Lonchura striata: one gene and its partner. The protein of the gene in region 1 binds, or shares a complex with, the protein of each later gene. Links are inferred from orthologs where the notes say so. Each region holds a gene or a part of one and is shown on either strand. Other genes may lie near its edges.

Evidence for each region. The genes of interacting proteins can lie anywhere in the genome.
Region 2: the proteins of RUVBL1 (region 1) and ACTR6 are in contact, whole or in part, in a cryo-EM structure (PDB 6IGM), measured with the Homo sapiens proteins. The link is inferred for Lonchura striata from reciprocal best matches to the Homo sapiens genes RUVBL1 and ACTR6. Residues at the interface, in NP_003698.1 of Homo sapiens: Lys162, Thr163, Ala164, Lys165, Gly166, Thr167, Tyr209; in NP_071941.1 of Homo sapiens: Tyr217, Tyr300, Arg338, Cys339, Leu340, Thr341, Pro342, Thr343.

What each region holds. Positions count from the first base shown.
Region 1 is NC_134614.1:13,220,538-13,224,282, reverse strand, and holds the start of RUVBL1 (ruvB-like 1), read right to left. Parts: upstream 2,744-3,745; 5' UTR 2,671-2,743; coding exon 2,530-2,670; intron 1,803-2,529; coding exon 1,716-1,802; intron 1,113-1,715; coding exon 980-1,112; intron 1-979. UniProt on the Homo sapiens protein: Possesses single-stranded DNA-stimulated ATPase and ATP-dependent DNA helicase (3' to 5') activity; hexamerization is thought to be critical for ATP hydrolysis and adjacent subunits in the ring-like structure contribute to the ATPase activity.
Region 2 is NC_134607.1:55,970,785-55,974,529, reverse strand, and holds the start of ACTR6 (actin-related protein 6), read right to left. Parts: upstream 2,495-3,745; 5' UTR 2,320-2,494; coding exon 2,252-2,319; intron 1,350-2,251; coding exon 1,232-1,349; intron 1-1,231. UniProt on the Homo sapiens protein: Required for formation and/or maintenance of proper nucleolar structure and function. Plays a dual role in the regulation of ribosomal DNA (rDNA) transcription.

The DNA.
Region 1 (3,745 bases):
CTCTGCTATCTCTAGCACTGACAACATGGATGGCCTAAGTTCCACCTGCTGGTTCAGGTTTCTAAACCTCTGACAGGGAACTTCATCACATCAAGGAAATTTTGCAGACTACTGAGGCTTCCCTCCCCCAGGCCCTGCCAGTTTCATGGTAACCAGAAGACCAGAGACTACTGAAAGTTGCTTCCTTATAAAAGTCAATGGAATACTTTTGTTTCACTGAAGAACTGAGAGACTTCTTCACCCTGCTGCTGCCAGATGAAGCCAAATAGGAAACATGGTACTGAAACAGGAAAATTTCTGTTAATACATTCAGGACTAAAATCAACGGGGTTCTCTTTAGCCAATCCTCACACAAACCAGGGCTACTTCTCTCTGCATTTGTCAGCTGTCAGCAGCAGCTGTGTAAAGAGATTTTAGATAGTCACTGAGATTGCGTTGCAAATTAAACCAATTTACATCAAACTTGTAAATGTAGCATAGAACTGAGGAAGACATTAAGTTACAATGTTTATTCAGTTGGCATGGAACTTTCTCTGTGCTCACTGGAATAGTAAGTCAGGCTAATGCTGCTGTTTGTGAGCCCCTGATTAAAAGTGTTAATTTACCAGGGTGGAATCACTAGAACAAAAAATAGGAAGAGTATTTTTCTGTCTACAAGTATTTCTGCTAATGTAAGAAATTAAAAATTGCTTTTTCTTTCAGCTTTATTCAGTCATAGGCAAAATGGAGAGGTGAATCTGACAGATAAAAGAATTTGATGAAGTATAAACCAAAATACAAAAATTAAATTACACTTTGTACACACAAAACCTGACTCCACTAAGTGTGAAAGATTCACTAAATTAGAATCAGTACTGAAAAAAGTAAGTATATGAAAACCTGAAAATGGCTTGACCATTGAAAAGTTTTTCCTTTTCAGATGACTGGGAAAAAGCAAAGTATCATGCAAACACTTCATTCTTCTTTTCCTGAAACTTACCAATTGCACGTCGGAAATTTTCCATGAGAACTTCTGTTTTCTTGATCTCAGTGGAATAGACCTCACTTCCAACCATAGGACAAAAAGGAACTTTGCTTCCCAGTTCCTGAGCAATAGCTAAAGCCAAAGCAGTCTTTAAAAGGAAAAAAGAAATACAAAACCCAGACATTAATTTTGAAGAGAATTAAGAAATTATTATTTTTGCACAAAGTTAACTTTCCTCATTGTATCACCTTCTATATATCACCTACCAATTTATGGCTATTCTGTCTGACATATATTTCTCACATACAAAAACCCTCCTCAAACACAGTTGACCTTGGCCAAAGGCTTTAAAAAACCCTGAAGACATCATACTGGCTGCTTGAATTTGACACCTGCTACAGATGCAAAAAGCCTAAATAGCATGGAGGAAAAAAAGTAAACCAAGCAAAAACCTTTCTGGCTTTTAATAAAAAAGTAACTTCTAAAACTTTTTCAGAGCTCTTGCTACTGATGTGTTTAGTAACCTACAAGAGGTGGTTTCACATTAAAGATGCTGAACACAACAACGGGTACTCCCAGTGTCGATGATACCACAAAAGCAAAAATATCAAGTAGAAAACTACATGAGTACATTGATTGAAAAAAAATCTGGCATATGAAAACACTTTGTAACCACTACCCTAAAACGGTTTTGACAAATTAAAACAGATTTGGAAATACTTTATTTTGTAACAAAACAGAAAAGTAATACCTTGCCAGTTCCTGGAGGTCCTGCCAACAGCACTGCTCTGCCAGCCATTTTTTTGCTTTTGATTAGCTCCACTATAACCCCACATGCCTGTAAGTTAAATAGGCATTTATACCGTTAACACAAGTATTGCTATAGTATCTTCTGTTCCAACATTACCTAAAGTATTTAGAAATAACAGGTTTTACAAAAAATAAAGATTTCAGTGTCATGCACACAAAAAGAAAGTTCGGGAAACATACTTTCTACAATCATTTTATCTGACACACATTAAAAACCACAGAAAACGAAACTCAATCTGTGAGCCCCGACTGCTTTTCCCTCTCGCTGTCCCACGCACAGACAAAGGTTTGAAAGTAAAGCAAGAAATTAATCTTCGCTGCCTGAGCCACAAATCCCCTACAGAGCTTCTTTCAGGGCCAGGCTGGATGAGGTTCTGAACAACTTGGTCCGGTGGGATGAGTCTCTGCCCACGGCAGGGGGCTGGAACGAGACATCATCTTTACGGTCCCTTCCAATCCAAACCAATCTGTGATTCTATGATGGCTTTATCCGGCCCGCACAGGAGCGGATGCTCCAATCCCTACGTGCATCAAACCCGCAGACTTGTGCTCGGTTTCGTTGCCTGTAACACCCCAGTGAGCACGCCGGCACCCGGGAGACCGTCCCCGTCGCTACGCGAAGCAGGAGCAGAGCCAGCACAGCGCGGCCGCCCCCCGGCGCCTCAGAGCGCAGCAGCCGCACAGAACCCGGGCACGGCTCCCACCCGCGGTCGGGCACCGTCAGCCGCCCCTGCCCGGCCCGGCCCCGCGCTCACCTCCCGCGCATTCTCCTGCCCCACCAGCCCGGCCCCCGCCGGCTTGGCGGCGCCGCTCTCGTCCAGCCCCAGCCCCTTGACATGGCTGTGGGCGGCGATGCGCTGGGTTTTGGAGGTGCTCTTCACCTCCTCGATCTTCATGGCGGGGCAGGGCAGCGGCAGCTCCGGCCCGGCCGCCCCGCGCTGCTCGCACGCGGCCCGCGCCTCACCGCGGCTCCGGCGCGCCCCGCCCCCGGCCCGCCATTGGCCCGCGCCGCGGCGCTCCCGCCGCTCATTGGACGCCCAGCCTGCCCGTCAGCCCCGGGGCTCGGGGTTTTAGGGTCCGCCCGCCCGTTTCCGCGTGCGGCGCGCACCGGCGGTCCGGGCGGGCGCGGGCGCTGCGGAGGAGTAGGGCCGGGAAGGAGGGAGGTGGCGGGGTGGCTGTCCCTGGAGGCGCTCAGGGAATCGCCGGACGTGGCACTCGCTGCCAGGGTCTGGTTAAAAGGTGGTGACCCGTCATAGGCTGGATTCTGATCTTGGGCGTTTCTTCCAGCCTAAGTGGTTCTGAGATTCTCTGCATCGACAAGGGCGGTTTTGGGGAGCGGCGAGCGGAGCTCTCCGCAGGGGGAGCCAGCTCGTTCTTGCTCGCAGGTTTTTTGGCCCTGCCGCACTTCAGCTCTTTCTTTCTTTCTTTCTTTCGTTCTACAATCCGATTTGGCGCTGGAGCCAGCGTTTGTCCTGCTGCCGGGGCTGCGGGAGCGCTGGGTGTCCCTGGCTCGCTGTCTTGTCCCTTGCCCGCCCACAGCCGCTGACAGTGCGCCAGGAGCCCTGAGCCTTCACAAAACCTCTGCTGGCTTTAGCTCACAAAAATAAATTAAGACTTTCCAAGGGTGTTCTCTAAAACTTTTTCAAAGATTCACAGAATCGTTAAGGTTGGAAGGGACCACTTGAGACCACCTAGTCCAGCTCCCCTGCCAAGGAAGGTGGGGATGGTCTCTTACCTGCTCGGTGTCGCTCATTAGTTTCTAGTGTCCAGTGAAACTGTGGAATAATTCTATTCTGCATCTTGAAGGCCTTCCTGTAAGCATTTGAGGCTGTGCTGCACCCACAGCACGTATTCCCAATGAGCTTCGAGCAATTGCAATGGGTAAAACCACTCCAGAGTCCCAGCAGGTTGTTTCATGGCCTCACAGAAACATCTGTGTTTCACGAGGTCTGGGATGCTGCAGCTTCCAGG
Region 2 (3,745 bases), on another chromosome or scaffold:
TTTACCAAAGTCAGTAAAGTCTTTGGCACCAGTTCCTACAGCATTCTCCTGGAAAAGCTGGCTGCTCATGCCTTGGACAGGTGAACTCTTTGCTGGGTAAAAGACTAGCTGGATGTCCAGGCCAGAGAGTGGTGCTGAATGGTGCTACAACCACTCGGCATCCTGTCACCAATCCCCTTGTCCAGACTGTTGGTAACAGGGGCCCCCAGGGCTCATGCTGGGACAAGGGGATTGGGTGTAATTCAACAGAAAGCACTGAATTGGGTAGGACTGTTGATCTGCTGGAGGATAGAAAAGCTCTGTAAAGATTTCTGGATGGGTTGGATTGATGGACTGAGGACAATCTTATGATGTTCAACACAGCCAACTGCCACATCCTGCACTTGGGTCACAACAACCCCATGCAGCACTACAGGCTTGGGGCAGGCTGGCTGGGACATTGCCCAGTGGAAAAGGACCTGGGAGTGCTGGTTGGAAGCCACTGAGCATGAGCTAATGTGTGCCCAGGTGGCCAAGAGTATCGTGGCCTGCATCAGCAATAGTGTGGCCAGCAGGACTAGGGCAGGGATTGCCTTCCTGCACCTGCTGAGGCCATCCCTTGAATCCTACTTTCAGTTTTGGCTCCCTCCCAACAAGAAAGGCATTGAAGGACTGAAGCAAGTCCAGAGAAGGGCAAAAAAGCTGGTGAGGGGTTCAGAGAACAAATCCTGTGAGGACCAGGCTGAGGGAGGCTGTCTAGCCTGGAGAAATGGAGGCTCAAGGGGGACTTTATCGCTCTCTGCAGTGACCTGAAAGGAGGCTGTAGTGAGGTGATGGTTGGTCTCTTCTCCCAGATAACAAGGGACAGGACCAGAGGGAATAGCCTTAAGTTGCACTAGACAGTTTTAGAATAGAAACATTTTCTCACCAACAGGGCTGTCAACTACTAGCACAGGCTGCCCAGGGAACTGGCTGAGTCACCATCCCTGGAGGTATTTAGAAGATGTGCAGATGTGACACTTACTGACATGGCTAAGTGATGGGCCAGACAGTGCAGGGTTAACTTTTGGACTTGATTATCTTAAAGGTTTTTTTCAACCTAAACAATTCTATGACTGTTAAACTTCACACTGCTGACTGATTCTTGTGTGATACTACATATAACCCTGCAGTTGGGACATACAGTATGAAAACTATTCCTTAGAACAATTTACATTTGGCTTTAATGTTAAACTGAAGATATCTTACTTACTTTCTGAAAGGGAAGAATATAAAAAAGACCAGAGGGATCCTTAATTTCATCCAATTGATTTGCCGTAAAGGTTTTCAAGCGTGCAGTCTTTGACCTGAACTGACAGTTGGGAATAACGCTGGAAAAGATTGGAAAGCTTCCTATTAAACATGGTATAAGACACATTCACTTTCTTTACGCCACTTTCATAAACACTGTAATTTCAATAATATTTTTGCTGCTGTATTTTGGCTTTAGTCCGTTAACTGGAGCCAGTAGTAGGGGAAATGTTTAATTTCTGACAACTCCAGTACAGAAGAGACACCTTTTGGAAAACCGAACACCACCCCCCACCTCTGCCGCACACTGCGCTGAGCTGCAACCCTGCTGCCGGCACAGCAAGAACAGCGCCAGGGGCTCTCCCCCAACCCCGGCCAGTGGGGCACGGTGTGACACAGAGGCACGGTGTGACCCAGAGGGGCACAGTGTTACACAGAGGGACACGGTGTGACACAGAGGGGCACAGTGTGACCCACAGGGGCACGGTGTGACACAGAGGCACGGTGTGACCCAGAGGGGCACAGTGTTACACAGAGGGACACGGTGTGACCCAGAGGGGCACAGTGTGACCCACAGGGGCACGGTGTGACACAGAGGCACGGCGTGACAGAGGGGCACAGTGTTACACAGAGGCACGGTGTGACACAGAGGGACACGGTGTGACACAGAGGGACATGGCGTGGCCCACAGGGGCACGGCGTGACACAGAGGCACGGCGTGACACAGAGGGGCACAGTGTTACACAGAGGGACACGGTGTGACCCACAGGGGCACGGTGTGACACAGGGGCGGGGGTGCGGGGTCCGCAGCCGCCGCAGGGGCGGGGCGGGGCAGGCCGCGCCTCTCCGCGGCGAGCGCAGGCGCGCTGCGGGCCGGCGTGCCGGTGAGCGGCCGAGGGGCTCGGGGCTGGCGGAGAGCGGCGGCGAAGCCGTGAGGGGACGCCCAACGCCCGCCCCGGCCCGGCCCGGCCCGGCCCCTCACCTGACGTTCGCGTGGCTGTAGCCGATCTTGGCGTTGTAGGCGCCGTTATCCAGCACCAACGTCGCCATGTTCCCCACGGCGCCACGGCCGCCGCCGTCCCAGTATTGATCCGCCACCGCCGTGGATCTCTACGGCGACCATAGAGCGGAGGAGCAGCGCGCGCGTGGCCGCGGGACGCGGGAGTGCCGGCAGCGCTCCGCCTCTGCCGCGCGGCGCGCGCCCTGCCGGTGACGCTGCGGAGCTGCGGCGCCATTGGCCGGGCGTGACCCGGCAGCGCTCGTCACACGGGGGCGGGCCCGCGGCTCCCTGCCGCTCCCAGCCCCGCGGGGCGGCACCGACGGCTGGGACAAGGCGGGGGTGCTAGGGCGAGAGCCCGCTGTGGCGGTGGTTTAAAGTTACAGACTGCCCCGGTGACCCTGCCGGCTCGGGATGCTGCGGTGCGGGAGCCCCGCGCCTCGGGATAAACGTGTTGAGTGACAATCTCATTGAGAAGTGTATAGCAACACGGGCCTGGGCTATATAAGAATGTGACACAATAGAAAGGGAGACAACTGTAAATTCCATCATCATTATTTTACTGTTACAGAATCACAGAATCAATTTGGTTGGAAAAGACTTGAGATCACCGAGTTGAACATATGAATGAGCATTATGTAAACTAGACCATGGTTCTAAGTGCCATGCTCGCCCTTTTCTTAAATACGTTCAGGGATGGTGACTGCACCACCTCCCTGGACAGTCCAATTCCAATGTCTAATCACCATTTCTGTGAAACAACAACAACAACAAGTTCTGGTGCAGTTTAAGACTTAAGTCCTCTCATCCTGTCCCTGATTTTCTGGGAGAAGAGGCCAACTCTCAATGGGCTACAACCTTTTTTCATGTTGAAAGTCTTTCAAAATGTGCATAATTAACACTTTTATTATAAATTATATGGAAAACAGTGCTATTGGAATTCTCTGTTCCTGTGCAGTTTTTGCTTTACTGAAGTCTGTGTAATATAGCACCATAGACCTTTATAAAATCACAGAACCATAGAACAGCAACAGGTGGAAGGGTGCTGAAAGATTATCTGGTACAACCTGTTGTAGTAAAGGGAACCATGATGAGATAATCTAACATCCTGTCCAACACCATCTTGAAAACCTGCAGTCAGAACTCCCTGAGGAGAGGTTTTTGCAGTGATTGGTTGTTCTCACTGGGCAGAAGTTCCCTATTTCAAAATGAAAGCTCTCCTGTTACAGCTTAACACGTGTTGCCTTTTGTCTTCTTGTGAAGAGAGAGCCTCCATCACTGTAGCCACTCTGTAAGTACCACAATACTGTGATAAGGTCTCCCCAAGCTTCTTGGGGCAGAAAAAAAGGAAGTTCTTCAGTCCTTCAGGGTGTGTTCTTGAGCCTTTGATCATCTTTATAGCCTTAATTTGGATGCTCTCCGGTTGTCCACAATTTTTTTTGGAGCTGCTAGGAGTAGAACTGGACACAATACTCCAGG